3 linked regions of the Neodiprion lecontei genome follow. The protein of the gene in region 3 interacts with the protein of the main gene of each other region in a pairwise test. Links are inferred from orthologs where the notes say so. Each region holds a gene or a part of one and is shown on either strand. Other genes may lie near its edges.

Evidence for each region.
Region 1: the proteins of 14-3-3 protein zeta (region 3) and Golgi phosphoprotein 3 homolog sauron interact in binary tests that used the Drosophila melanogaster proteins (3 or more experiments, as listed by UniProt). The link is inferred for Neodiprion lecontei from reciprocal best matches to the Drosophila melanogaster genes 14-3-3zeta and sau.
Region 2: the proteins of 14-3-3 protein zeta (region 3) and slowpoke-binding protein interact in binary tests that used the Drosophila melanogaster proteins (3 or more experiments, as listed by UniProt). The link is inferred for Neodiprion lecontei from reciprocal best matches to the Drosophila melanogaster genes 14-3-3zeta and Slob.

The regions. Positions count from the first base shown.
Region 1 is NC_060266.1:25,423,858-25,434,752, reverse strand, and holds Golgi phosphoprotein 3 homolog sauron, read left to right. Parts: upstream 1-4,078; 5' UTR 4,079-4,309; coding exon 4,310-4,567; intron 4,568-4,631; coding exon 4,632-4,878; intron 4,879-4,959; coding exon 4,960-5,135; intron 5,136-5,555; coding exon 5,556-5,804; 3' UTR 5,805-7,664; downstream 7,665-10,895. Other genes in the region: damage-control phosphatase ARMT1-like, read right to left, coding at 8,195-8,548, 8,625-9,036, 9,107-9,292, 9,366-9,622, 9,705-9,810, 10,892-10,895. UniProt on the Drosophila melanogaster protein: Phosphatidylinositol-4-phosphate-binding protein that links Golgi membranes to the cytoskeleton and may participate in the tensile force required for vesicle budding from the Golgi.
Region 2 is NC_060260.1:23,028,857-23,038,865, forward strand, and holds the start of slowpoke-binding protein, read left to right. Parts: upstream 1-4,949; 5' UTR 4,950-5,169; coding exon 5,170-5,202; intron 5,203-5,506; exon of another isoform or gene 5,507-5,730; coding exon of another isoform or gene 5,731-5,733; intron 5,734-5,751; exon of another isoform or gene 5,752-5,840; intron 5,841-6,813; exon of another isoform or gene 6,814-8,163; intron 8,164-9,687; coding exon 9,688-10,009. Other genes in the region: peroxiredoxin, read right to left, coding at 1-23, 229-437, 784-831; non-structural maintenance of chromosomes element 3 homolog, read left to right, coding at 2,300-2,677, 2,772-2,940, 3,060-3,154, 3,391-3,522, 3,699-3,794. UniProt on the Drosophila melanogaster protein: Regulator of calcium-activated channel Slo. Increases or decreases the voltage sensitivity of Slo, depending on the absence or presence of 14-3-3-zeta in the complex, respectively.
Region 3 is NC_060261.1:34,232,995-34,243,115, forward strand, and holds the start of 14-3-3 protein zeta, read right to left. Parts: upstream 5,011-10,121; 5' UTR 4,871-5,010; intron 1-4,870. Other genes in the region: mRNA turnover protein 4 homolog, read left to right, coding at 5,311-5,338, 5,539-5,843, 5,948-6,184, 6,474-6,626; phosphatidate phosphatase LPIN2, read right to left, coding at 9,884-10,037. UniProt on the Drosophila melanogaster protein: Required in Raf-dependent cell proliferation and photoreceptor differentiation during eye development. Acts upstream of Raf and downstream of Ras, and is essential for viability.

The sequences.
Region 1 (10,895 bases), on a different chromosome or scaffold from region 3:
AATTGTATTTTAGATCGCATAATATGAATATCGTACACGTTGTACGTGCAATGTTACGTTTAAATGCGAGCAGACACGGTGGAGGTAATTATTATTACCAACGATGGTTCCCATGTGCAAAATTTTCCCGCATTCACTCGCTCTATGCATTCGTATATGTATATTCATACACACGTTTATTAAATCGCAATATTCATCGAGTCGCACATTAATTATGAGGCAATCATCCGCAACTTCGTTGTTCGTGCGTTTTGATATAAATAATAATAACGCCGTCATCACACACGCGTACACAGGAACGAGATATTTCGTATCACACGTACGTCCGATTCAAATTACACTCGCTGATTCACACGCGCTGTAGCGAGTAGAAACAGGAAAAAAGAAAAAAAATTTTTCAACCGAAATAATAAAAAAATCCGCGCGATCGTTCAACAGGCAAGAAAATTTTTTCACACCGTCAGCGAGCAGCGGCTGCAGGTACACGAGGCCTACCTTATACTTCCGCAGATCCCGATTAACCCTCAGCCGTTGGATCCTCGACGGTGTGATGAATTCCGAACATCGCGATTCCTCCGCGGCAGCCTCTCGTCACTCCCGGATGATGTCGTCGACGAAACAATTACGCACGGGGTAGAACCGGAAGCTCAACATGAGAGTGCACCGCGCATAACTGGACCTCGGCACTAGAATCGGAGGATCCGTGTTTTTTTTTTTTTTTTTATTTATTTATATATTTTTTTTGCTTCCCTCGTCTATCGTCCCCAATCGGCGATTAAATCGGCAGAGAAACGGCGGTCCAGACGGTCGAACGCGGGGACGAACGTTTGTCGACTGAATAAACGCGGCTCTCCGCAACCTCTCGAATGCGACTGTATGCTCGCGGAGAGTCCGCGGGGGCAACGCAGCTTTCGCTCCCACCACCTCGTGCACCTTCTACATAGGTGTATTCCTACCTGCCTGCCTGCCTGCCTGCCTGCGGAGCCGGTGCCCGGTTGTATTAAAATGGTTTTGTGGTGAAATACACGACGATCGTGTGTGTAAGGCTGCAGCCTGACCGTCCTCGTCGAAGGTGGATGTAGGAGCGCGTCTGTGTATCGACGAGTAACGTGTACGAACGCCGTTGACATTGAGGCGGACAGTTGTTACTTTTACCCGGGTCTGCAGGTGTTGGTGTCGCTGCACCGAGAGAGGAGTCTCGGTGATGCCACCGACCGCGACATGTCGAGTAGGTTGCCGTGGTACGAGGTATGCGGTTCCACCTCGATTAGCCCTCCGCTTTGACAACGGGAAACAGACCCGGTCGTTAAACTCCGCCGATTCTAACGCCGTTTGTTCAGCCGTTCTTCCCGATCTTGGGAGAGAACCCTTTCAATTATTCATTACTATACGCGTTACTCCTCACCTCGCCACGAGTCGACGTTTCGCGCCTACTTTGAAGGAGATCGTACCTACATAGAGCTTCGTGATAGTTAAGTCGGTTCTACTGCGGTGCAATATCGGACCCTAATTTGACGGTGAAAATGTACGAAATTTAAAAAGAATACGATTAAGACGTGCGAAATCAAATTGAAATCCCAATAAATAGGAATTGGTTTACTCAAGCGTTTAATCGTATTTTCTTTATATTCGATCAGTTGATAGGGTTTTTCTATTCGCGAGAACGATGAATGAATACATTTGAAAAGCGATCCTTAAGTTGGGTTTCTTCTTAAATCTTCACGACCTGGAGGATCAACGTAGGATTTCTGGGTTCAGTTTCCCTCAATCGGGTCAAATGTAGACTCTAAATTTCTACTCGAGCAACAGCGCGAATTTATCGTCATCGTTGTCGTCTAAGTGTAGGTACACTTTTCTACAGGTAGGCCGATTTTATCCAGGTACACGTACCTGTAATACGTACGGCGATAGTTGTTAGAGAACCCAGTGACGCGCGACTAAGCACAGTTAAGCCGTACTGCCAGGGCTATTACCGCATACCTGCACCATCTGCATGTGTCGATGCTGGACTCCGTTCGCTGCACCGCCCGGCGAAAAATCGAAATCGCAAATTGTCCTAACTGTACGTAACGCTCTGCTCCGATTTTATACTCTCTGTCATTATTTCCTGGCACCAGGAGGAATTGTCTTCAGCCGTTGTTGCGCCTGCGGACCGTTCCGTGGACGGGCTGCCGTAGCTTTTCTCGTACAACGAGACCTCGTTGTTATCCACTACCGTACCTATTCTGTAATGCCCCCGTTACAATTTTACTCCACCGCTCTTCGCGGGGCCCAGAGCCGCGGCGCATAAGGAAACGACTTGAGGATTTATGCTTCTCCGTGGAAACTATCGCGGCATGCAGGCTGTACTGGACCCGGTTAAACAGATCGCTAAATGAACGGTTATAATTGAGACCGTATAGTATTATAATATCTCCGCCTGCAGGCTCTGCGGATATCCTGCAGGCAGCCGCTTTATGGTCTCATTACTAATGTGCGCGTACCTATAAGACCTGACTATTCGCTACGGGGCACTTCCTTCTTGCAACGCGATAATAACGCCGAGGAACTCGGAATACCGGCAATTATCACCGCAAAGACTGGACGCTCGTCATTTTCCTATCCGCCCGAGTATGGACCGGATGAAACCGCGAACTGATGTACACACGGTTTTAAAATAACCCATTCGTAAGAAATCCTGTCGCGTCGAGGATGGAGAAGAAAAATATATATATATATATATCACGGGAGATCGCATAGTTTGAGAATTGAAATCCATTCTATAGACTCGTTTTCAAAGAACGAACCAATCTTCAATTTACATACAAAAGTCTGACGGTCAATAAACCAAAACGAGTTTCGAACAGCCGTGAAAACTTCGACGCATTTTAATTTATCGCGACTATCAAAAAGCGTCAGCGGATGTGGTGAAAATAAAAGCACCGATGGTACTAAACCGCGCGATTACGCACGAGTAGAAATAAGACGTAATTCCATTGCATGAAGCGATATATTGATACACGCGGTATATTGATTATCGGTTGCGTGTCTAATCGTCGTCTCGTGCGGCGCGAAGCGTGGTGTAAAAGTGCTGGTATCGTTCGATGGATAATCGCTCGTTACACGTGCGATACGGGACTAAACGGCGCGAGAACGCTTTTCTTGTTGTTTGAACAAAAGAATTTGTCACCGGTGAATAAGCGTGAACGTTGAATATTGCCATTTCATCATTTTCTAAAAATAAATTCTCGGTGTCGATCGACAAGGTGGTTTCAAACTGAAAACAGTAGAACAACGCGATCGTTATTCGAGATTCGAGGGTCGAGATCAGCGCTGCCAACCCCTCGAGAAAATTCTTTGAATCTAAAAAAATTAGAGTCCGTTCAAGGAAAACCGAAAAGTTGTTTTTTTATCAATAAATGTTGTCGCTTAGACCAAAATCTGAAGATAAACTCAAGACTTCAAACGAAATCTCAAGACTGACAGCGTAATTTCTAACATTGGACTGTGAAATAGAAACAAGAGACTAAAAGTAAACCAATCGTAAAGTTTCTGTCAAAATATAAAAATATACCGATTACCTTGATAGTGTCTGCAATTTGCAAGTGCATTTATTTGACAAGTTGTTGGTACTAAATATTAAAAATAATAACACATTATATAAATAAAAGTTCCTAACATCTTTATACTCACAATTCAGACTGTAGGATGTAAATCTGTCTGTCTTACCTCGTTCGTTAATTATCATTACAGGTATATTTCTAGTGAAACTGTCCGTGTTATAAGGCGAAAAAATTAAATACATTATGTATTCCTGTTTATTATATATTCAGTTTCAATTGCGTTAAAAATCACTTGTGAAAATAAGAACTACGAAGAATTATTGTGGCACCATTAAAGCATCTAAAGCATTATTGTGGTGCCATCTGAAGAGAAATCAAAAGAACCGTCTTAGCGTTATTTAAAAAAATATTCGTCTCAGTATACTGGCAACGCTGTTCGAGATTCGAAGTTCCATGTTCGATATTTGAAGTTTCAATAACGGCCGGCAGATGGCGCCACCGCTCGGTGGATTTCTTGACGGCTCGAGAATGCCGAAGGGGGGATGAAAGTGATTGCTGGGAGCGACTGGCACCGTGTAGGCCATCTTGGAAAGATATGTCGTGTCTATGTAAACGTCAACAGGAGATTGTTTATCCGACAACAGACGGTCCGGCCTTTTGCCCTTACTAAAATCGCGCATCGTTGCGAATCGTCGTCACCGAGGAGGGTCGCGTCACCAGCGTCATTTCTGGAATAATCCGCCCGCTCGTATCTCAACAACACACGCATGATGAATCGGGGTGACGGTCTGGTGCAACGTCGCAGAATTGTAAACAGCGGAAGCGGGGGCAGCGGGGGAAACGGGCAGGATGGCTCCAACGAGCTAACCGGGAACTCGGACAAGTCCTCGGCGCATGGCGCCGACTCCGAGACTTCATCCCAGAAGGACCTGAACTGCAATCCAGCCGTTGACTCTGACTCCGACAAGGAGACGAGGCTCACCCTCATGGAGGAGGTCCTGCTACTAGGACTCAAGGACAAGGAGGTAGGTCTGCGCTGTTCTTCTCCTAGAGCGACCTAGGGCTCAACTTCGAGGTTCCTTCTTTCAGGGATACACGTCCTTCTGGAATGACTGTATCAGCTCCGGCCTGCGCGGCTGCATCCTAGCCGAGCTCGGTCTCAGGGGACGAGTCGAACTTGAAAAGGCTGGTATGCGGAGGCGCGGTTTACTCGCCAGGAAACTCCTCCTCAAGAGCGACTCGCCTACGGGTGACGTCCTCCTCGACGAGGCTCTTAAACATCTCAAGGAAACCGATCCTCCTGAGACTGTTCAGAGCTGGATCGAGTATCTCAGCGGTAAGCCGTTTACGCATCTGTTCTTTCTGATTTTAGCATTCGAAGACAAAAGTCGAGGGATTGATTGTCGCGTTGTTTCAGGCGAGACTTGGAATCCGCTGAAGCTACGATATCAGCTCAAAAATGTGAGGGAACGATTGGCCAAAAATCTTGTCGAGAAGGGTGTTCTCACCACTGAGAAACAGAACTTTCTTCTGTTCGATATGACCACTCACCCGCTCACAGACAATCTCGCCAAAACTCGGCTGGTCAAAAAGGTTCGCTAAACGTAGAGGGAGTTCGGCATAAAATAGTTAACGCACTAAATTGTGGGTAGTGGTGATAGCGCTTATCTAACACATCGGAAACTGATTAGATAGAGAAAAATCATTGTTTGACACTCCAGAAGCTGTTCGCTTACGTCCGGTCATTAAAACAATCAAATATGTCTTAATCTTTAGAGGGCCAGCATTTTTCCCTTGAAATTCGACATTTCGTAGAGACATGATTTATCCATATAAATAGTAATCACGTCCCATGGAGTTTCGGAGTTATTTGCTGACTCCTAAATGAGCCAGGCCGGCTCTCTAAAGATTAAAACAACTCTTTGTCTGGTACAAATTTTGTTTTAGCACCAAAGTTTCCACAAGTACAATCAAGTCGAGTGTCCGTTTTAATTTTCCCTGCCTTGCCCACAGATTCAAGAAGCCGTATTGGGTCGTTGGGTAAACGATGCAGGCCGAATGGACCGCAGAACGCTGGCATTGGTGATTTTGGCACATGCAGCCGATGTCTTGGAAAATGCGTTTGCCCCGCTGTGCGACGATGACTATGAGGTTGCGATGAGGCGAGTACGAACTTTGCTAGACCTCGACTTTGAGGCAGAGGCCGCGAAACCAAACGCGAATCCCGTCCTTTGGGCTGTATTTGCAGCGTTTACGAAGTAGCGAAATTTCCCCAACTGCCTCAAAGTATAGGGATCAATGAATTAATTTGATATATATGTGTAAATAGAAGGATCGAGTGTACGCGTGTCGTTCAGAGTCGCGCGTCGGTGTACATATGCACACCCAGGGAAATTATACCACCCTTACTTTCGTTAATAAATATTTATAGTCTTAAGGGCGTCCGACATTCATTTTCGTTCCGAATATCTCAATGCTTGATAGCTGAAATGTTCGTATTTTATCGTTCATGTAAACGTATCAAAATGAATGACAGGTTCCGGCCCGTATTTGTCCGTGATATACGTCGCCCCAACTTGGTTTCGACCCCTCAAATTGTCCAGCGAACCATTTTGGTGCGAGAGGTGATGTTTCCAAAAAAAATTCTAGACTTTTTTGAGAGAGAGACATTCGTTTTTATTTCCTGTATTTTTGAGCGTATTTATATTGGTATTCTTTTTTTTCTTCTTGTTTTGGTCACATTCAATAGCTGCAGCTTGAATTCACTTTTGCGCCAAGCGCAAGACCAACACTCATCTAATTCTTGATCATTGTAACAATGCCATTTATTAGGTATATAATTTCTAGGTTTTTTCCTCGTTTGGTTATTTCCTTTTGTTTTAGTAATTTTTAGAACGTGTGTCAATAGAGCTTATTTGAATTATTGGCGGGGTAGGTAAAACAATTTAGGACGGTCGTGTGAGTTATGATAACAGTACCTACATATTTTTTTTAGAAGCGAACGTAAGTATTATTTGATATACGTTGCAACAAATTTGAAGAGTGGTACATTTTATAAAATTCCTCACGGTAAATGATCTTAGTGGCTTATTTAATCTATAAACCGGAAGTTTCTTTGTGTTTTATTCGCGATTACGAAGTATTCATGTCCCGGTGTAAATGAATTGTTTCTATTACATTTCTCATCGATTATTCCAAATAATAAATGTCGCTCTAATTGTGACTTTCAAGCAAGCTTATGCAGCTAATCACCTGCAAAAAGTAAAACGGATGAATGAAATAAACATAAATCAAGTTAATCGATTTTTTGTAAAAAGGCATGCAGAGAGAAGCGGTCATTTGACGAAAAGATAATTGTATACTAGAAATATTATAACGAATCGCGTAACTGATGCAATCACTTAAATTGCTACGTCGATTTATATCTTATCAGCTGGAAGGGAAGAGAGAGGATAAAATTTATTTAAGAAATTTTAACGTTATTTCCCAACATTTGATATCTAAGTTATAATATAATGATTGTACAAACGTTTATAGGACAGAAAGGATATTATGTATTTACGAATAATGGTTACTTATTACTCTTTATTATTATAAAATATTGTATTACTACTAAGTGTAATAAAATAAATATTCCAGGTAGTACAAGATAGTCGTCAGCAATATCACGCGAGGTGTAAATTGGTGAGGCAGAAAAGGCTGTGTTATGTGCACAGGTGCGAAGTTTCGTTGGCAGGTTTCATTGAAATCACTCGCTAAAATTTGTTTACTCCACTCACGATTAGGCGCACCTAATAAACTAAGCCACTTGCTCCTTTTATTTGGAACTGAATTTCTCAGCTGCAAGTACTAGTCTTCATAGCTGCTGTTATAAGTCCGTACTTTCCAGCTCTCATCCACTCAGAATCCGTTTTGCCGAGAGACTGCTTCGTTAGGCTTCAACCCTACACGGTCTTCCGACTTGACTGTCCTCAGACTGACAAAATTCAAATAATCAGGAGCTGACAATTGATGAGCTCATAGAAATGTGTGAGGAAGAGCAAGGCATGGAAGAACCTCATTCTTTAGACCCAGTTCAATTGGAAGATCGTGTAAAGGTTGGAAATTTCACAGAAGGCCTCAGTTCAATTGAAAAAAGGTTACAAATTTTGGACAAACCGTCGCGCGTCGTAATGGTTGAGGTACGAACGGTTAGCAAGAACCGCACAGAATTTGAAAACTCTGAAGTTGATACCGCATTCGGCGAATTTTTTGTTTTCTAACTTTACGACATTTTCCAAATAATCGATAACTATTTTCCTATTTTTGATGTCATCTAAAAATTATTCCTCAAGTGTTGGTAACAGAACCCGTGCCAACAGCAACGTTGTCATTGTTGCGAGTAATGCCAAATTCTGCTTAGGGTATAATTCTCAATTACGTACGTATACTTCGGTACATAGCCAGCCAACTGATATGATTTTTAATTTCGAATAAATATATATTTCATAATGGGTGATTAAATTAAGGTCATTAGAAGTACGTGTAATACGCATTGATTACTATGGATGCGTTAGTACAGAATTCTATTATACTACATAGAATAAATTTCTCTTTTATTCGGACAAAAATGAAAATTCTGAGTTTTTTTGTCTACTTTGAGTGACGGCAGATTATCCTGCTCTGCTGCAGGTCTGATTATTTGCAGCCGCTGTTATGACACCGTATTTTGCTGTTCCAAGCCATTTCGGATCTACTCTTGCGATAGACTCAGCTTGGTTGGGCTTCAACCCCACACAAACGTCCGACTTGAGTGTCCTTAGACTGACGAAATTCGTTGGCAAAAATCCTCGGATTGCTTGAAGAATGCTCGTGGTGTGTTCCCAGTTAATATCTCCGAATAATTTTCTGTAATTCAAGTCGCCCTTGAATATGACCAGACTTGCTTCTGAAAGTTTAGCGTACAAGGCGGGATCCTTTTGGGGCATTTCTGAGAAAACAAACGGGCTGGTCCAGAAAGGCTCATCCTGTAAGTGAAGGCGGAAAAAAATGATGAATCTCGTCAACCGTTTCAAAGTTCGCGCAACTCTCGCAGATTCCTACCAAAATAGAAAATACACCGGTCTCTACGTGACCCTTCAGCAGCTCTCCAAACCGCGATAAATCAGGATTCGAAGAATTCTTCATGTGTTGGATGATCCATTGAAAATCTCGCGTGGTAACGTCACTGACGAACCAGGGAATACGTTTCACGTAAAATCGTATCCTATCTGCAAGATTGCGAGCGATCAAAAAGGCGGAGAGACTGAGATCGGTGAATAATTCGTAGCCTGCATTGTCCAGCACTATATCGACCGTTATCGTGCCGTTGGGCTTCTTCGCTCTGCAATTAACCAAGGCATTCCAGGCCAAATCGGTGCCGTCTACGAGAATGTTTTTATCCAGGCCACTTAGTAGTTCGAGCGGATTTCCGGTTTGACCTACCGCAGCACCATGGCTGAATGACAGATCGACCCTGCGCGATAAAATACGTAAATAATCATGAAACACAATCGATCCGTAAAAACTTTACACCCCGAGTTTACCTGTTGCCCCATAAGCCCAGTTTCAGGTGCTTAATAAATTGTTGTTTCTCATTCGCCGATGATACTTCCGGTATTCTGTCGATTTCTTGCAGAGTATGAGCAGCCACTGCAATGGCGCTTGCTGTTGAATCCTCGAAAGCCCGTCTTTTTTGTTTAGCGAACGGATCGTAAAATTTCAACGTTTCCCTGAATCACAACGAGTTCTTGTTAGCTTCATGAAAATTTTTCTCTCGAAAATTTGCCTATTGCAATTCCTTACGTGAAATGAAACGCCTCAGCGATCCTTCGATACACGTAGCATTCCAAGTAAACGTAGATAGTGCTGTAAAACCTTGGAATAACTCCCTCTATTTTAGTACGTTCTGCTAGATAATTGTTCCACACCCTGACCTCGTTAGACCAGGTATCATTTTCATTAGGTGAAAAACGCAGAGGTTTCAACTCTGCGTTTGTTAGTATCTCATTCTTCAAATTGCGAATGGAGCTCAACGCTTGATCCAAATCTTTCCCAGCGGACTGTGAAATTAAAAAGAAATTAACAACGAGATCAAATATTATCGCCCAGGGTATTGTTTACGAAGTTTCGAACGAAGTTTACCTGACCGTAATTCTGAACAATTTCTTCTCTATCATTGACGAGGGAATCGATGACTCGAGTTACGATCCGAGGTAGTCCATATCTGACTCCATGATAGGCGAGACTTCTGCAGATTTATTAAAAACACGTGATAAACCTTGAACGTATAACACACTTCCGTAGGTGTAACGTAATATATCTATATCACGTCGGTGTAACATTTTACAGTAAAGATGTATGTATCGTATCAACAATTGTTTTACTGTCAGTAAAATCACGGAACTTATGTAATACATTCCATGAAAAGAATTACCCAATTTCAAGAAATACAGAGCACGTCATATACTAGATAATCCGCGAATTTCGTAAAATCACGCGGGTCGTAAAACATCAGTTTTAAAGACTGGGAAAAGAATTTGAGTGAGATTATGTATGAACATATGTATGAACTGATGTTTTACGACGACGATGTTTTATATATATATATATATATATATATATATATATATATATCGAATGTCTGATAGCGACTTATAATCAATGATCCGTAGATGACCCCTATTACACGCATTGCGTAATACGTCGTAATAAAATATACATATATATATATATATTTAGAGCTATTTTGTCGCCCAAAATATTGACCACCTGACGTGTAGTACCACTCATTATTGAAATTCTCTTTAAGCAAATTAAAAAAAAAAAATTCCTTCGCCGGACTTTCTATAATTATTTAAACATTCAAATAATCTAATTAAGTTTTCACGGTGAATGCCCTTTGTATTTTTCCTTTTCTTTTAATCGTCTAAAAATAGTTTATTCGAACACTGAAATTTCGAGTCATGGTTCGTCATGGTATAACCGTTTATTACATTTTGTAGCATTGATTTCTCGAAATTTTTGTTATTCGTGTCATCATGACTTTATGATTACGTGAAAAATGAATTAAAAGTGCCTGCTGCAATATTAAATACTCTAAATCACTGCCCGATAAGGTATAGATTGTCGTTATTCTCTCAGTTAAAACAAAAACGATGTTTAATTTAGTAACTCTGTTTTATTATGGTTTACTGAATTTCAAACAATTCGAAAATCTAGAAGCAACACTTTTTCCTCGATATGAATCGTTACGATAACGTTGCTAACTTCAATACGATAAACAAAAACCGGTAGCAACGTGAAGTGAGAGTAAAAAAATTGACGATCACCTTT
Region 2 (10,009 bases), on a different chromosome or scaffold from region 3:
TTTCCGTTGGGCAAACAAACGTGCTGAAACATTGTGGTCGTACTTTCAGGTAAAAGATATTCTGTCTATATGTAAATACAAATACCGCACAGCGCGATAAAACTAATTTCTAGAGAAACAATGTAACAAATATTTGCATTATGGAAATTAGTTGCCATTAATATCAGCTAAATTCTAGCAAAAATGCCAATACATTATCTTCCTACTTGTAAATTATAAACTACTTACAAGTCCAATGGGTAAAAAAACAAGACGACGTATTTTCCTCGATAATCCTCTAGTTTTATGTCCTTGAAGTCTCCATTGATTACTGCGGTGCCAGTAAATGATGGGGCTGGCTTCTGGATCTGAGGTCCCGACGCATTTAGCAGCCTGGGGCCAACAGTAAAGCTACGGATATTTGCGTTTACTGCGGATTGTGCCAGTCCTTGTTTTACCTGCCAGAGAAAACGTTAGTTTTGACGACACCTTTTAATCACTGATGACTTAGAATAAAATCATTAAACTATACAACAGTATAAATCTAGGTAATTGTTTCCAATTTAACAGCGACTGAAGGATGTTAATATTGTGCAAATTCCCAAATTTGCACAAATCCAAATAACATTTCTCTGAAGTATGACCAACAATTACCAGAAATTAGTTAGCGGTAAGAAATTGAGGCTCCAAAATAAGATGGGACTCTCTAGATGCTTGAAGCAACAATAACGTTTGAAAATTAAAAAAATTTGAAACAAGTGTTAATAGTAGTACAATAAATAGTTGAGCCATGGTCCTTCTTACCAAGTGCTTAGCTTGAAGTGAAAGATTTCTGATTAGTCCAGACATCATGAGATTGTTCTTTGATTTACGCTAACGACGACGTCGATACCGCACGGCAGATTGAAAAGTAACGCATAGGCTGATTGACTAATTTTACTGATCGCACGACCGTCGAAATGAGTTAGCGGTTACCGAAGAGGTTATGTAACCAAATTCATACACATTTTAAGATCGGTCTTACTTCCTTAGGCTGACGTCCTATCCATACAGTAGAAAATGACTGAATTTCTTACAAGCTAGTCATAAATTTGCTCGTATGGTGAGCACGGCATCTCTCCTACTTTTTTACATTCTTAACTTATAATCTGGTTTTGTTGCGTTTCATATTCTAATGCCGCGCCGGCCGAGTCATGGTTGGTAGAGGTGTGCCTTACCAGACGGACGGTACTCAATGAATATCACAATGTCACCAAAGAATTTATAGTTTGTCGATAGGGAAGGAAACTAGGGTAGCCACTGTATTATTTGTTATCGACATCCCAGCAGTGTTCCCTATGCTACCGACGGTATTACGTAAATCAAAGATTCGACGTGTAAATACCGTGGTAAATACCTAAATCTGTTTCTTCAAAAACTAAGTAAGTACATGCTTTTGGCGTCAACATAAGGTAGCGCTGCAGAAGCATCAGTGTTATTGTTTCCCAACATCATTACGACAAACCTGACATAGACAACAAAACTTAAGGAATAAATCATTCGTCTACGTTTGGAATTGATCGTTATTAAGTGCTCACGACTTTTATATCCATTAAGTATTTCACGTTTATGAGGGTACGTAAAGAATTTTTCTTTTTGAAAATAATGCTCGCCCACTGTTCCCGAGTAATTCAGTGTTGATGTTCATAGTCCAAACAATTTATAACCTTACATTCGGGACGGTGATTTGCTGCAATGCCATAGGGCTGGATTTAATTTATTGCACAAAATAGTGAGACAGTAAATAACTTTACAATTTTGTTTGTCAATGTGGAATTTATGTAGAGTAATGCCATAACTGTGGTCTGATTTACAAATCATTGTATTAAAGTTTGCAACGTCAACATTAGCTAAAAAATTTGAGGAAATGGAGCAAACAATTTATAATTAACATAAGTTTGATATTTGTGATTAAAAGTTATCAGTATTAAAATGTAATTATGCCTGCCTTCGTCTGTGATTGAAGTCGTCAAATTTTCACCATACCTTTCATAAACTCTTATTCTATACATAAACTCAGTATTTCACACAAAGTGTATTAACGCATACTATACAACTATTTTCAAACAACGCAGCTATTCTCAAAATGTTATTAAAAAATATGCAATGTTAATATAATGGTTGCTGATTCGTTTCCCCTTTTGCTCCGCACAGGCATTTGTGCCTCCTGGAGACATACCCTATCGGCGGGTGCTGGCAGTAATTATTATTATATTAAGCAGAATTTGGGTTAGTTCCTAGTTTATCTAATGTCGAATAAAAATATCAATACCTTTTAGCCATGTCTCAAAGAAACCATAATACACGCAGTACCGCACAAAGCACTCAGAGTTCTACTAGAAATACCTCATCAGTTAAACGATCTACTAGAAACGCCTCGCAAGCCAGTAAAACAAATACCAAAAACACTTCACCAACCAGCCAGAGAACCCAGCAAAATGATGACGATGAATACATGACACAGTCTCAAGCAACTCAAAGCAAAGATCTGACTGCTGAAGAAGAAAATCAGCTAGTCGGAAGCGTGATAAGATATTTATTAGCAGTTGACAGAACTAAGCATGTCATACAAAGACCACAATTGGTTAAAAATGTTTTTGGAACATATAATAAACATTATCGCAAGATTATGACCATAGTTAAAGCCACTTTGACTCAAGTAAGAATGGAAAGAAAAATTCAACAAGTAATTCAATACAGAATTTAGATATGTTTTGGTGAACATTTTTTTATTCTTGTTCTCATTTTTCTAGGTGTTTGGTTTTAATCTGGTAGAATTTGAAACTGGCAAATACATTTTGACAAATGCTATTACAATGAATCCTCCACATCTTTCGTGTCCGGAGAGCGAAAAACCCTGTCGAATTTTGCTGATTTTGGTTCTTGCTCATATTTTTATGTTGGATGGCATATGCAAGGAAGGTTTGTTTTTACTTGCTTGTTAACGTTACTTTCATTGAGCAATTTAATATAGTCAAATGTGGATCAGTCTGTGTGATAATCATACGCGATCTGTGTGTTTACTGTAATTGATGTTTTAGAATTGTTATGGGACTTTTTAAGAAAATTGACAATAATTCCTGCAGACGGTTTTAAGACTCAGATGTTTGGTGATGTACACAAAATAATCACTGTGGTAAGTATAAGTAATAAAAATAATGAAAAAAAATTTTATTCAACTTCTTATACCAATACCAAAGATTCATTTGAAAGGTGTATAATATGTTTATGCATATCCTCAGAAAGTTTTATCTTATTAGCGGTAATGATATACATTATCTCCATCTAAAGATTATAGTATTTTAAACATTTTTTCCGTCAACTAACTTTTATTCTTCTTCTTTATCTAATGTAAATATTATTTCTATTCAGGAATTTGTGAAACAACAGTATTTAAAAATGCCCAAGATAGGATCATCGGATCCACCTGCATATGAGTTTCATTGGGGTGTGCGTGCCGAGGAAGAGGTTTCGAAACGTCATTTGTTAGAATTCGTTTCAAAGGTAAATTTAAAGACGCCAAAACACAAAAATATACTCGATTTATTTCTAATATTTGTAAAAAGTCTATTGAAGCTTTATGCATATTTAATATTTATATAACATTAGAAGTATTTATTCTAACATTAGACTACGTTTAGTGATGTGAAGATGATTTCATATTTAATTTCGATTTCTAGATGTATAACGATCGCCCGATCAAAAGCTGGCCTAAACAATTCAATGCCTTGAATGAGTCCGAATGCCAAAGCATAGAGAGTGAAGACGATAACTAAGGTGAACCTATTGCAAAGAGTTTAATAAACTGACATGAAAATTAGGAAATAATGAAGCACTGTACTATTTTTGTAACAAGACTTTTAACCGTGTCCGTCTAATTATTTCTGTATTTTATACTACATACATTAGTGTGCTAAATTTTATGTATTATGGACTTTTTTTTTATTAAACATCTATTGAAACTTTTTGTAACATTAATTTCATGCATCATTATATTCACAATCTTAAATATTGAGTAAAACATTCACATAGATGAAAATTATTATCGGCCAATGAATGTTTCCAATATAAAGTATTTCACTTTCAGAACTCAATCTCAGACAACAGAACATATTTAAAGTTTTTAGACGAATACATGCAGCTGATTCTAACATGTGAGAAAAAAGTGGTTGAGATAAAATTCTAATACTTGTATGGAATACTTTGTGCCTTAAAATGTTTATCGCGAGACAGAAACAAAATTTGTGTTTTAAAGAAAACTTAACCACTCATTTTTAACATTTTACAGCACATTTTTTGGTGTATAAAGCAGTGTTGATTATTTTCTGAATATTTGAAAACTAGCTTTATAATTTACTATAAATAAATATCCGTTTGCGGCTGAAACGGATGAACACACTACGTATTCATTATATCTGCAAAAAAATATTTTCTCATTATTATATGCAATTATAATAGATTCGATGGTCTTGCATCGAAATATAGTAATAAAAAGTATGTACCACGTATACTTTTCATATAATGTTTTTTTTTAGTAAAACGCTATTTTTGCTTACTCGTTATAATCAAACACTAATGATAGCAACAATATTTACAAAAGTTATAGATTTTAAAAGTTTAAACATTAAAATCGTCAAAGAATCTATCTTCTAGTATAATTCTCGTTATTTTTTAGTATTCTTTCTTTTTATATCATAGATTGGAGTTTCACAGCGAACGTCTTCTCTTAATTTCTCTTTTCTAACTTCTTTTAATTCACTTTCTATCAGTTCGAACTGGTTTTGTACGTACAGATACTATTTAAATAGATTAAAGTAGTGTAATTGCAAAAACAAAACACAAATTCTGAATTTAAAAAAAAAAAATATGAAATATATACGTGACAGCAAAATATAGAAAGCAGATATATAATCGGCATATTTTTTTAAAGGAGGATTTCGTTGCAGACCTGTGTTACTGAAGTAACAAACAAAAAAGCCTACCACATTTTATCGCATCCAAAGTTCTTGAATATGTAACATGCTGCTCTTTCGTAATACTTTGATACCGATGAGGATATTATTAAAAATTCCCAGCTACCTCGCTAGAAGTCAATATCAAATCAAATATCATCGCAAATTCCAATTTCCGTTGGATAGTTACAGGAATTAAATGAATCTGAGAATTCAGAAGGAGACTCTTATGGTACGTATTTCGAAATTTTCATGTATATTTATGACAAAACTGTACTAATTTAATTTCAAACAGCATATAGGTACATTATATGAAAAAATACTTGATATATATTGAAATGTTAGTGCATGCAATTGTTCGTTTCATTAATCACCACAGAAATAATTACATTTGAAGTCCGATAAACACGGTGCTAAGAAAATGATCGAAAAACGCAAGAAATTAACAGCCGTTAGAGATCCGAAAAATACTCGTCACCCCAATTGATGTTTCTTTTTTGGCAAAATCCTTTGTGCTTTTTCGTATCTCCGAAAAGAAAACAACGTGACTCGCAGAAGCCGTGGGATTAGGCATCCGTGCATGCAGGTGAGATTACCTACGGGACGAAGAAGTATGGTCAAATTTCTCGCAGAGGTCATACGGAACGGGTACGACTAGGAGAGAAGTCTACGACCACGCGGATGACCCAGTTATATTATTAATGCGTCGACTCCAATCTCCCGTTTCAACCGACGTACATTGTGCATACATATGCCGTGAATGGTACATAACATTGAGTCTACGGTAGTCGTAGACAGACGTACATGTGTACTTCTGTACTCGAATCGGAGTGCAAGCTCGCAACAGTAACAAAATGGGAGTGAAATAAGGTATTCTAGGTTTAATTCCGCAGGTGAGCTTGATGCACGAAAAAAATGTCTGTGCATTATTTGACTGCAGCACAAATTACTGTTACATACCCAAATTTGAAACCTGGATTGGATTTATTACGTAATTCATGTGAACTAAAAAGAAACTGACACGATTATCTGAAATTCTTACATTTTAATTTGAAATATGTCGTTTCTTCTTCAAGATGACTTATTGTCCTTTTAATCCAAAATGTCAGAAGTAGATGAATAATGAATTCATTTTCGATTCCAGAGATGTGTATCATGAACGTCATTCAGGTTCAAACAACACAAGTCTGTAGCAGCTAATTGTGGCATAAATTTACGTAGGATTCTCCGCTTATTGTCAGAGTGATCAAAAAATCGAAAATTGTTTCGGTCGTAGAGCCGTAATCGCTATGAGAACCTGAGGAGTGTTATAAATTCGAAAAATGAAATATGAACGTATACTGAACGGATATTCCATTTTGTTAGTACATACACGCTATTGAAAACTCAAAAATTACCCAGTGACGGCATTTTGCAACTATATATCGTTATTTTCAAATCTGTTCTTGTGCGATCTACTTTGATATATTAAGTCTCTCCGAACAGATCCGAAATTATAAGTATTTTTCTTCTCAAGTAGCTTTGGAACAAAAAACATGTTCTCCTTAAAGTACGTAAATGCATTTTTTTTTTAATTATTTCTCAAAAGGATATATTCAACACTGTTGAACCAAACTTGTATAATTTCGCGACAATCAAGCGGCAAGACATTCAAACTATTGAACTGCAGTAGAACCTGGAAAATTGCCTCAGGAAATTTTTTTTTTTTTTTCAATTCCTCCCTAAACATATACGGGAAAATTTGTCGATCAGTGCATACGGCATGCTAAAACTTCTTCAGCTCAGCACCTTGTGGCAGCATAATTTCCTTTAAAACTATTATCATCATCACCACCTGCGACGATTCACCAAAGGTTTTCATGTAGATTTCAAAATAAGTTTGGTACAGTTTAAAAATCTTCGCAAAACTTTTCGAAAAAGCTGTCGAAAGGGATTCCAGAGCTTATTAACAATCCTATTCAAGAATACCAAATAATTACCCATTCGCGTAATGAAACTTGAAAAAATTAACAATTTCAACACCGGTACACGCAACTCTACACCGATCATACTCATATGTGCATGTAAACGATTTGGGTGGAGTTAAAAAACCAGAATAGCTGATCGACAGACGGACCAAAATATCGAATTTGCAAAGACGCGAAAATCTAATTCGTAGAATTATCATAATGTAGAAAGTTCAAGTATAGAAAGTTGAAAATATAGAAACGAGAAGCACAGAAAGACAAAATATAGAAAGTTTAAAACGTGGAACGGCAGAATCTAAAATCTGTATACGGTTCTATATTATCGAAACGAATTCTGACGACTCTACATTTAACATTCTTTATTCTGACCTTTCTATTTTTTCACTATTCGATACCACGAGTTTCCATATCTCTAAATTACACCGAATAACATTTTCGCTTCTTGAAAAATTCGCTATCGCGGCCCTTCCAATTCTCGATCTACCTATATTTTAACCCCCACCCAGCTATTTTCTTTGTCTCTAAACCGCGTGAGGTCAAAGGTCTGCAGCCCCTCGCGTATTTAAGCCGCCAGCGTTACCTTACTTTCAGGCGGGATCGTACAGAAAGGACCTAACACGGCTTCGGAAAGTCCCTTAATCCCGACAAGGAGACAGCTAGCCGCTAGACCGGTGCCGCCAGCTGCTCACTGTTCCACTTTGCAATTGTCGTTTAACGAGCCTGCATGCTGCACCACTCGTAACCCATCTACTTGTTCCCGCAACGGACAGCTTTGAGCTTTCGGTTTGATTCAGATTGGTCCCGGATACCGCGCTGCGGGCCGCAACCACCGGCTGGTAACGCGCCGCCCGCATCCCCCATTCCACCCCCAGCCTCGCCCAGCTCTGCCCTCTGCCCCCGGGGCAGCGAGCCCCTCGCCGAGTGAATCTATGTCACAGTCAGTGCATCCCTCGCGCTCGCTCTGCAAGCTCTGCAAGCTCTGCAGGCTCTGCAAGCTTTGCAGTCCGCCGCCGCCGCCGCCGCCACCCTCCCGGCCTTCCGCTCATTACTTCCGAGCATCTTGTCCCGCCAAGATTTGTCCTCGAGGGCTCCGAGTCGCGTCAGCGATGAAAGTTAACGCTAGTGCAGATAAATCACGAACCTGCACCTTTGCCGAGAATCGTTACTTTGCAAAGTAGAATTTTTTTCATCTCTCGTCAATCATTTCTACCATTTTTAGTAAACAAGTAAGTATAATATTCCTTTGGCGTGCGCTTTTGTTACAAATTTTATACTAATTATAAGTATACGTAATGCTTGAATCATTTTTTCAACTTTGTAGTAATTTTTTTTTTTTCTTCTTGTGAGTACGTATGAATATATTTTTATGTTATCTCACCCTTGCATGTAAATAATACACGTTGAACAAGCGTGAAGGAATTTTTTTCCCAGCAGCAGGTATTTTCCAAGTAAGATCAGTCACGGATATTTGAAATTGGGAAACTCGACCTTCTTTATACCTGTCAAATTCTTGCTATCTGCATCTGTGCTCAATACTTTTCCTACTGGTTTAGAAAATCTTGCGTTCCATTCACCAATTTTATAAATTTATAGCTGAACAATCGTTTCACACCGTGCGCGATTTGAGTGAAACTCAAAATGTACCGAAAACGTTTACTTGTAACCTTTCTTTATATTCATGTGAATCATTACTGTATACAAATATCAAATGAAGTCTCGAGGTATGCCATAAAAATTCTCTGGATAGTTCTCGATATTTTATTCGATCACCCGAGTGCAGGGTAACTAAAAAAAAAATTTAGCTCTTCAAAGTTTAAAGTTAAATGATATCAACTTATGTTGGCCAGTAGGAGAACATGAAAAAATCAACTGTTAAATTATGTTTTGTGGAATTTCACGTATAGCTTTTTGATGATCAGATGTCATTCGGAAATCTCTTGACAAAATTGACATGATTGTACGGTCTAGATTCATAGCTGTGAATAATAGCTTTGACAAGACTGCGTACGCGAAAAAAAACGGACAGTATCAGTAATGCTGATGATCAGCTGATTTTGTTATTCTCAATAGATTTGACACGCATGAACGCGGTATTTAAATTGTAATTATGACCTCTCTTAGTGACATAATTATCTATTCCTTCATTTGTCGTTTATTTTGTCATTAAGTACATATTTTTTATGATTGTATGTTTAACGTTCGTACCTCAACGCAGCGAAATATTTCGCTCAACGCTTGAAAAAATCTTCATAGTCACAATTTACATATCCTGGTACGGTTTTTAATTATCATCTTTATGAGGAAATTACATGTCGGTGCATGTTGTTCTGTTATTGCGGATATTTTTATGGTCCAGCCTAGGTGGTATCCCAGATAACAATTAGGGCAAAAAATATATCAGGGACATCGAAAAATTTATGTTTTTGTAAATGACTTTTTAAACTGAAAGTCTAGTCATTCGAAGTAAATTACAGATTACATAAGCTCAAAGATTTCTATTGCTCTATAACTTGTAATAATTTTGAGACATTGGTCTTTCTTTATACGATTTTTGGTTTACGATTAATTGTTGCCTGAGATTCGGTTTAGGCTTAACGATATAATACTATTGATTATAATTGCTTCTGAGCAAAAAGAGCTAAGTGCTAAGTGCTAAGTGCTACTCAAGTATCGTTCTTTTGTCGAGTGCAACACAATATTCTTTACTTAATACTACGCTTCGCCAAAGATATATTTTTCCGATGTCACAGACTTGGGACCAAATTCGCCGGGTGAAAATGTTCAACTTATATCAAAATATGAACCGGCGAGAAGAGGGTGAAAATCGTCGTGAACCGGATATGACCGGACACGATCGTTTCTGTCAAGTACGGCCAAAGTCACGGCGTAAACGACGGCAAGTAACTCGACGGGCCCAAAGTGCAATCGAATTGGACACTGAGGCTATGCTCTCTGCCAGAGGAGTTCTTGATCGGCGTGGACGAAGCGCAAGCATCGAGGACGACGAAAGTGAAGAAGAAAAAGGCTACCAGCTGACTAACAAAATTGATAGTCTTGCCAAGATTTTATTCA
Region 3 (10,121 bases):
ATAGCAACAGGATTGAAAAAAAGAAATATATACTCGAGCAGCAACTGGATGCGTCGCAATATGGAAGAAAAATAATGAATGAAATAAAAGGTAAACCAATCCACATACATATAACACTGGACCCGATACAAGAAAACACAATATTACGTACAGTTGTTGTCAGTCTTATTAAACATTTATCGTGAGTAAATTACAAAAGCTCCAATATTGACTGAAATTGCGCAGAATAAGGATAATTAATTAGGTATGTACATTATAATTGTTTCGGTGCAGTGTAACTCACGCCGTACGTCTACGTGCACATTTGCCAAGTGCACCGTGGTACTTTTAAAAGGGAAGGAGATGCGTACGGCGGTGTTAAGTATGCGTTCGCGATGCTCTATACCGATACATATGTGTGTGCAAAGCGTGCGTATGTCACGCATAGGTGTAATAGGTAGCTATATACACAACGCATCGTCATGCCTAGCAGCAGAGAAGAGAGAGAGAGAAAGAGAGAATAATGCGTCAGTGGCTTGGAATAGCGAATGATGTCAACACGGTACACATTTACCACGCGTCACCCAAAGAAGAGAAGCATGTGGTCAAACCCGGGGTTGTTGGTTAGGTAAAACGATGCGTCTAGGTGTACATGGTCAAGTACCTAGGCTAATCGTAAGCCTGTTTATAATACACGCGTAGCGTCTATTACTTCTATTACGCGGGATAGAAGACGACAGAGGAACGTAATCGCTAAGTAGCAACGCACGCGTTCCATTGCCAAAAATTAATGACAATGATTACAATTTTGCGGCCTGAAGGATCCCCCCCCCCCCCCCCCAAAGCTCGCTAATCAGATCGTTACACGGTCAATTATTATACGCATCACCTGTCGGGCATTCGATATTCGTTGATTAAATACGTAGTTCAATAACTGATTGTCTTATTATTTTCGTTATTCTACTAACAACTATATTATATCATATCACATTGCAGGTGTGAGCGATTTTTTGCATTGCAATTGTGTAATTAACGATGGATCAAATTCTTGTCATCGATTTTGTTCTTTGACGGGTTCGAAGTTTCTTTTTCGTTATTCGCCAGATGCGAATTATTATCGTTGGGTATGTGTATGCGTGTATGTGCATTAAGCAACGTATATTATAATGTATTTGTAGTGAGTCTACATATACTGAGAACACACGTACATCTGAGGATCGAACGATATTACGATGTAGAGTATTTTCATCTCCGCGAAACTATACGCATACATATATTGTAATATAGGAATACGTAAAAACGTTTGAAAAAAAAAAAATAACTGGCAGTTTTATACACACCGTATTTAATTGGTAAGTTATTTTTTCATTCCTCTTCTTCAGATTACAGCGCATTTTGTGTTCAAGATTCAACAACGGTATGAAAACTATTGTGTTATAGGTATATATAAAAATATATATATATATATATATATATATATATATATATATATATATATATATATATATATATATATATATATATATATATATATTCATATACACATGCATATAAGTGGAACGATTCTGACGCACAATTATTTTTTCTGACATAGTTAATACATAAACTATATATATTCTTTTAGAATGAATAGTTTGTACTGACGTTTTCTCTCCTTTTGTGAAATGTGTGCCCAACGCGATGATGTTTGGTTTGATATAATGAGCGTACTAAAGAAAAAAAAAATGTACATGCAGTATATTTTATACTCAATGAAACGGACGCAGCATGCGGTTCAACGCACGCTGTCCATCGCACTATGCGTGTTATGCGCGTATGTAACTCGTTGCTGATACTACAGCACCGAACCCAAATTCTTAATTTGGGAATACGAGAAATGACACGATGTTCAAATCCAATTCGATTCAGTATTGGCTAAATACACACTGCACTATACGTATCCGAACCTTTATTTTTTGGGAGGGGAGTAAATAAAGGGAAGTAAGAAATAGAAAAACACATCTGATCTCTAATGTGAACTTTTACGAGAGGGAAAATTCTTTCACATCCAATGACGTATGTTAATATAAAAAACGGAAAATTTATAGGATTGCTCCGTTTTCCTACCGCTGACGGAGTCGAGAACGCATAAATCTGACGTAGTTCATCAGCTAATGATATTATATGTATAAGTATATTTAATCAAATTTGACGCGGTTAAGATATGAATTGAATTTTTCTTGCGAAGTTTTAGATATAACGTATTATCGATACTCTATTTTCAGGTTTGACCGCGATCATCTGCATGTGCGATAAATTCCGAATAAAGAAAAAGAGATTTTCGCCACCGCCGTAAGATATCTGTCACTGTCACGCGATATGAACCGGAAGTATCAACCCGTAACAAGATTTTGCTGACCGTTACAGCACAGATTTTGCGTTTGATATAATATACATACCTATATAGAATCGTATAAGTAGCAGGAACGATGGTTACGGTAAATAAATACATCGTAGCGATTTCAGACATTAGCTAGTTGTGGAAAATTTTTTGAAATTATAGCATCTTTACGCAAGTACGGAAAAAGTTATTTCAACTTCGAGCGTTAAAGAATTATTTGCATCTACCGGGGATATAACGACGAAGAGGAATAGTAACTCAAATATGACGAATACAACGTGCCCAGTGTACGCACAGAGAAACAAACAACGAGAGGAAAGAAAGGAAGTGTGTAAAGAGAAACTTTAGTCATTACCCATGGCAATTGCCTTATATTATGCACGTATGTGAGTGCGCGTGTGTGTAACAACCTGGTTGAGAAACTCGTCGAGATATTCGCGCCGAGCCTAATATGAATGCATCTATATTATAAAACCGGATGTGACATATTGATATGTTCGAAACAGCTTTCGCGTAGTCGTAAATGAGACACATACGCTACGCGGAGTTCGCGCATTGCATGCGAATCATTGCACCCCGCAGGTATTACAAATCGTCGGCGGGTTGCACAAACCCACATTTACTATTTTCTACACTAGCAGGCATTACGCTTGATATAAATTAACGTGTCGCATCATCCTCTCTGGCACGTGACGTCACGGCTGATAGTAGTAATTTCCATACGGATTATCTCGGCAGCGACGGATCTAAGTGAGCATGCAACAACGCCGAACTCGGCCGAATGCGTTCAGAAATGATAAAGCAAAAAAACAAGAAAGAGATACATTTGGAAAATAAATGTGCATGAAAATCACGAAAATCATAAAAATCTTGAGACGCCATCTGCTTATAGGCAAAGGCTTTCGACCTGCCTAGATATGCTAGATAAATCGCGGCGTAGGTACACGGCAGACGTGGGTCACACTACGTACGACACATAATGCATGCACCCACGTGAACGACGTGTGGCCTTGCTTTAATAGATTTATCCACCGTCATGTAATTGAGAATAGATTCTCTGACCAAATAAATTCGAACCAACCAGAATCAGGTGCGTGCGCTTGGAGAGGATAGAGAGAATAAAAAAAATAAAATAAAAATTAAACTTCTATGAAGCTAACAAAGAATTTCTTTGACCGTTGTTTGTTACATTGTGCTGTACGTACGTTGACCTGTGCCAAAGATTGATCTGCCAGGAATCCGATAGATCTTTGGTGCGACATGTAAGTGAACATTGATTTAATGCCGCATATTTGTGAATTTACAACGAGAATTTAAGTCACATGTAGCGATGCGGATAATATCTATTCCAATCCATCGATTTCAATAACAGCGGGGCTAATTAGTTCCCATTTGTTATTGATCAGTCTCGTACAGGTAAACTCACGGTAAGATTTACCGACACAGTAGACATAATTGACGAGAACTAATTTAGTCGCAGTTTTCATTCTATATCCTTTCGTGTGATCGTTAAAACTTTTTCCTGTTACATGATCGTAAAAGTTGAACTAAAAATGAAGTTCAGTTTGGGAAGAAAGGGAAACAAGGCCTGTTGGAGGTTTGAAGACCGGATTGAGATATTAAAGTACGTAATAAGGCGATCCACCTGGATGAGAGAAAGGGCGTGCCTAGTCGTAGGCGTTTGTCACGGTCAAGTATGCGACGTACTTCTACCAAGCTACAACTACGTGTGGCTGCGGATAATTGCACAGTAGGTATGACGAAACGACAACGATGGTACACCGTTTATTACGAAGATTTAAAAATCCGAGGACACGAATCGAGGATTGGAGAAAAAAGTGCGAGCGGTTGGCGAGAAAGAGGGAAATAGAAGAAGGACATCTCCGATTTCTCATGACCATATAAGGAGCTAAATTCTTAAAAAATGATCGCTCATAGTACGAGTAAAATATGACAGTTTGACATGCGGGTATTGAACGGCGGTAGCACGTGGTTAATGATAGTCTGACAGTCGATAAACGGTGAAATGCCCGAGCACTGTCAGACAGGGATACGTTAAATGCATGTGAAAAAGTTGGACATTTTTTTCGCCGGCAACCTGGCAAAATGGCAAAATGGCGCCCCTGGCGCCTGAGACACTCCTATTAAATGCGTCACTCGAGCCGTACCCTCCGCGGCTACATTCACGCCTATCGCCTTTACTCTTTAGGTACGATCTCGAACCGGAAGATTTAACCCGTCTACTTGACACGGAAAATCAAAAATGCCGTCATTACTGACTGGCTCGATTATCCTAGTGATAGGCGCACGACGTCAGTATCTGTATGGCTGCTCGTTTATTCGATGTGGAAGCCGCTTTCCAAAATTTCCATCATCTCTAGTTGCTACGGGGTTCACACAGCCCGCAAACGACGTTGCGCACATTTAGCATAAAATTAACACTTCTATCGTATGCACGGAATCTCCGGTTAGCGAGGATTCGGTTTCGATACATTTTTGGTTAAAACTCACCTTTTGAATGCAGAAAGTCGCCTGGAAAATCAAGGCTTCAGCGAATTTCAACGACTCCCGTCTAACACGATCTCACAGAGTGCACTGCCGCTCACCGCCGGAAACCGCCATTTTAGACTACGTTCGATTAGACACTTCCCCTACCATCGATCATAACCTATCTTCATTCGATACGCGCACCGTTTTCAACCCTTGTGCGATAAACATCTTGTGTAATTTTCGAAAATTTTATTGACATACACAATACCTCACCGATGCACTTGCAAATTGAATAAAAATGAATTAATTGTGAAGTTGAATTCAACGTAACCAAAATGGCGTCCACGTTTCCTCCTGACTGTTTACTGCGTGACATTCGAACCGGTGCTACTAGCACATGGTTTGTTTTTTAAATAGTACCTCAAAGTAATCAGACCGTCTGAAAAAACAGAAAGTGAAAGATGCCGAAGTCCAAAAGAGACAAGAAAAGTACGTAAATCACCTCAAACACTATCGCACAAGTGAAATCTGAACCGTTGTCCAGATATTATTTGCACATAACCTATAATTTGATATATACATGCTTGATAGTCGTAACTGATTTTGCATTTGGAATTATAAAAAATTCTCTAATACTAACAAGTTCTTGTAATTATTGAAAAATGATAAATTTTCGTTTTAATTTTCAGTCACACTTACAAAGACCAGCAAGAAGGGACTGGTTCTGAAACAACAGATCGTCGAAGACATCCGTAAATGTGTAACAAAGTATAACAGCATTTTTTTGTTCTCCGTTCAAAACATGAGAAATAACAAACTTAAGGACATCCGGGCTGAATGGAAGGATAGCAGGTTCTTTTTTGGTAAAAACAAAATCATGGCGCTTGGCTTGGGCAAATCTCCCGAGGAAGAAGTCGAAGATGAAATACACAAATTATCTGCCGCTCTCAAAGGCCAATGTGGGCTCCTTTTCACCAACAGACCTAAGGATGAGGTACTTGATTAATGAAAATGGCAATATACAAATATATAAATGAATTAAGCAAATATATCATATAATTATTTCAGTATTTTTAAAGGTTTTTTTATTTGGGACAGGTCTTGGACTGGATGGAACAATATGGTGAAGAGGATTATGCACGCTCAGGTTTTGTTGCAAATGAGACAATAACAATACCTGAGGGACCGATGCCAGAGTTTGCACACAGTATAGAACCACATTTGAGGCAGTTGGGACTTCCCACATCGCTTCAAAAGGGAGTTGTAACATTGCTCAAGGATCACGAAGTTTGCAAAAAGGGCCAGACACTCACTCCAGAACAAGCCAGAATACTGGTACAACATTTGTATTTGTTTAGCAGATGTTTTCAAGTATATAGATAATTCCATTATAAAAAGCTCAAAGGCTTCGGTTATGTACTCTTTTTTTTTTCAATTTGCTCTTCTGGAATTTTAATGCTAGTTCCCTCAATTTTCCATGAATGAAATCCAATACAAAATTTGAGAAAAACTGAAATCCACCCATGCATGTCACAAAAGATTTCTCGTGGAATTACGTGTATACTTTACAAAGTACCAATTTACTGAATTCAGTATGGAGCATTATTTTTGTACCTTCTTACAGAAACTCATTGGCAAGGTATTAGCAACATTCAAGTTAACGCCTCTTGGGGTATTTGTCAAGAGTGAAGGATACATGCCAATTGCTACAGATGATAACGATGATAATGAAGATGACAATGTAGAGATGGAAACAGAAGACACAACAGATACCTGAAATCAGAATTAAAAATGACCTAAAAATGTACATATTGAATAAAAAATTGTTTTTCCATTTTTGCGGTTTATCATTTCTTGAGTTTGTGAATAAAACCTACAATTCTTTTCTCTTATCTCACATTCCAGAATATCAGTGACAGCAATGCGCCGAGGAAACATGCATGTTCCAAAACAATCTAGTCCTTGAAATCCTGCTAAAAAAAAGCATGCAGTTATTAGAAACAAACGATTTTGAAATCTCTCGTCAGCAGTGCAAATATCAAGATAAATTTAATGAAAAATATTATTACCAAATAATACACAATATTTACACATTGTACATACTCATTCAATGAATAATGAGTTGCATATTAGGATTCACTATATTTTGGATCGTCGGTATGACATGGGTGAGTGAAATAATTAAACGAAATTGTACCTTTTATGTGTATAAAACTTTGAAAAAACTTTTTATTACAATTTCTGATACCAATGTGAGAAATCATCGGATCTAATCTTGTTAATCAACAGATAATATATCATTGGCTGAATGGAACTGTTCCAAAATCTAGTTGTGAAAATTCTAAAAGAGTGGCATTCAAAATCACAGCAAATAATCATAAAAAACGAAGTACTACTTCTGTAGAATCATGGGACATTTCTGATAATGAGGACAACGGAAATGCAATCACCAGTCACAATGAGCTAACGACGTATCGGGCTAATTTTATTTAGCAAGTAATCTACAGTTTTTGTAGTGTAGCTGAAAAATGACTAAATCTCAATGGTACTGTTTGTATAGTATCTGAAATGAATTCTGGTATGGTTGAATTGAATATCAGAGTGCTATTTCAAACTTTTCGACGCAATTCGTCTGCAAACGAGTACAAATAAATTTATCAACTACTTTTACAAATTGATAATACTAAAACGGTTAATTATTTTTTTCCCTTTATTATTTGAAACTTGTGTAGATTACAAGATATGATTATTACATTGAATAAACTGTTGCATAGAGAGCTTGATAATATTTAGTTCAAACTTTCATATTTAATTATTTAATCTATTTACTGATAAGGTTTTCTTGATAGTAATAGGTTTTGAGCTCAAACTGCATTCCACTTTGAAAAGGCATAATTATTCTTATCCTCGGAAGATACCTATTGTTTGTTCCCATGCGGAGTGAATAATGTTTATGTAAAATAGTGAGTGAATTGTAGAAGAAATCTTGTCAATTCTTTTTGAATGACGTTAATCAAAATAAATATAAATACGTAATATATCTTATTACGAGCAACTTGCTTTTTCAATTTGGAATGACAATCGTAATAAGTTATATTCCGCTCTCAATGTGTTAGAATTTAAATAAGTTCGACATTCTAATAGCAATATCAGCTCTCTGACAAGAGGTTTTCATTAAGATACATTAATTCATGATAATTATCACTAAAACGTATCATTTATAGGCAACAATTATGTGACGACACTGAATGTAAAGCGAAGTGAGCGAATGAAATATAGCTGTGTACACGTGTTGTTCATGTTCCTCAAATCACAGGAATTCAGATCGTCATATCGACTGGAAATTACCTAAACAAAAGGATCGGTAATAACAAGAAAAACTCGAAATATCGAATTATTTATCAGGTAATATCAAAGAAATAGTCGAACACATATTCTAAAATGAAAACTAAATTTTCTTACTAGATACGATAGTATAATACTTAACTAACAAAATCAATAATACCTGGTTACGAAATAAGTTTATATATTTTACATAATGTGACTTACAGACCTGACTAATTTATAACCTGAATAATTTATAATATATACATGTCTTACTAAACGATAATCAATTATTTCAACCAACATATAGTAATTTTACAAATTCTAACTAGATGTGAATGTCTCAAATCTTTTTTATTCCAGTGCCATACGCTTCCAATTTTCACATCAAATTCTTTTTACAAATAAATACAGAGACAAAAATAAAATTAAGAAATTATCGAAGGGTTTTATAAATATAAAAGTATGATTATCTATGTATAATATAAGTGGAAAATGATCTTTGGTAAAGTAATTACGCATTGCATTGTCAATCAGCGTTGTGTAATTACTTGATGACAAAAATAATACGGAGAGTAATACACACAACAATAAGAAAATATTAAAGATTGAGTTATTTTAATCAATGTCAACTATTATCATACTTTATCACATGAAAAATAAAATGTCACCTCTTCAATTTTTCTCTTAATTTTCTCACCTTTTCAAAACTAACAGTACAACATGTAAATTTATAAAGAATTTACCCTGAAATCTTAAGAAGTAATTCATAATATATCAAATAAATTAAACAATAAATCTACAAAAGTAATTTAGATCCGTTTCACTTCGTGCAACAATTTGAGCAGATACTAAATTTAGTTAAATATAACTTTATCTATCCCCTTGCTCGTAATATCACAATCCAAAAGTCAGTCCTTTTATGTTCCAACTCACCATGATCAATTTGTAACACCAACTGAATAGAAATCTCATTTAAAGAAAATAAATAATAATTGTCTGAGTAACATGGACAAGACAAGAGGTAAATGTTATACACCTGAATTATTGGTTTACAATCAAAACACTTTCAGTGAAAAGCTGGCAGTATGTCGTAAGCAACAGATACTAATCTTTTACAGATTCAATTTCTCATCTTTCTTAAAGCAAAAGCAAAACACGTTGACGACGTTTAACCGACTCTCAGATTTCAAGTAGTATTGATTTTATTCAAGTAACTGCCGGCTGTTCCTGCTACTTAAGCTGCTAGGTGCAGTATGAAACCGGCGTGACGTATGCGATGCAAGGAACTAGTACCGAGATTGACAAATAAATAAACAACTGAAGTCCACAAGTTACGTGTTTCACTATGTATCACCTATATTGGAATGTTTTTGGAATAAACAACGTAGACTATGTGTTTTCATAGCGTAAAGTAAAGTAAAAGTGGTCGTTCATTTGCTAGTCATTTAAAAAGAAAAAAGAACCGAAATAAATATTAGAAAGCTATGAAAAATACGGGGAGTCAATTCTTTCATTGCAACAAAATGTTTCTTCTTCTTATAGTCAATGACAATTTTGAATGAATAATAAGACAAAATATTTCGTAGCAACACGTCAGCCGGATCATCAGCTGCATCAATACACAGAGTATAAAACTTAGCTAGACAGAACAACTGTTTTAATAAATAATGAGCGATTTATTATTGCTCAGGTGTCGAGTGAAGACGTTTATTGCGTGGTTTGTGTCTCAGTGCTTAGTACTTCTAGATCCGGCAACTCAGGAATTGGCTCTCGCCAGTAAGCAAAATTGCTAAATTCGTCAGTTGCATCTTCAGGCAGGGGGGGAAATAGATGATCTACAATATAGCTCATGTTCGAGTATCTGAAATATAAAACAGAGATAGTAAATTTTTACAAGTTTGGCTTACCACGTGAACATTTAATTAACACATGTAATGTATGCAAG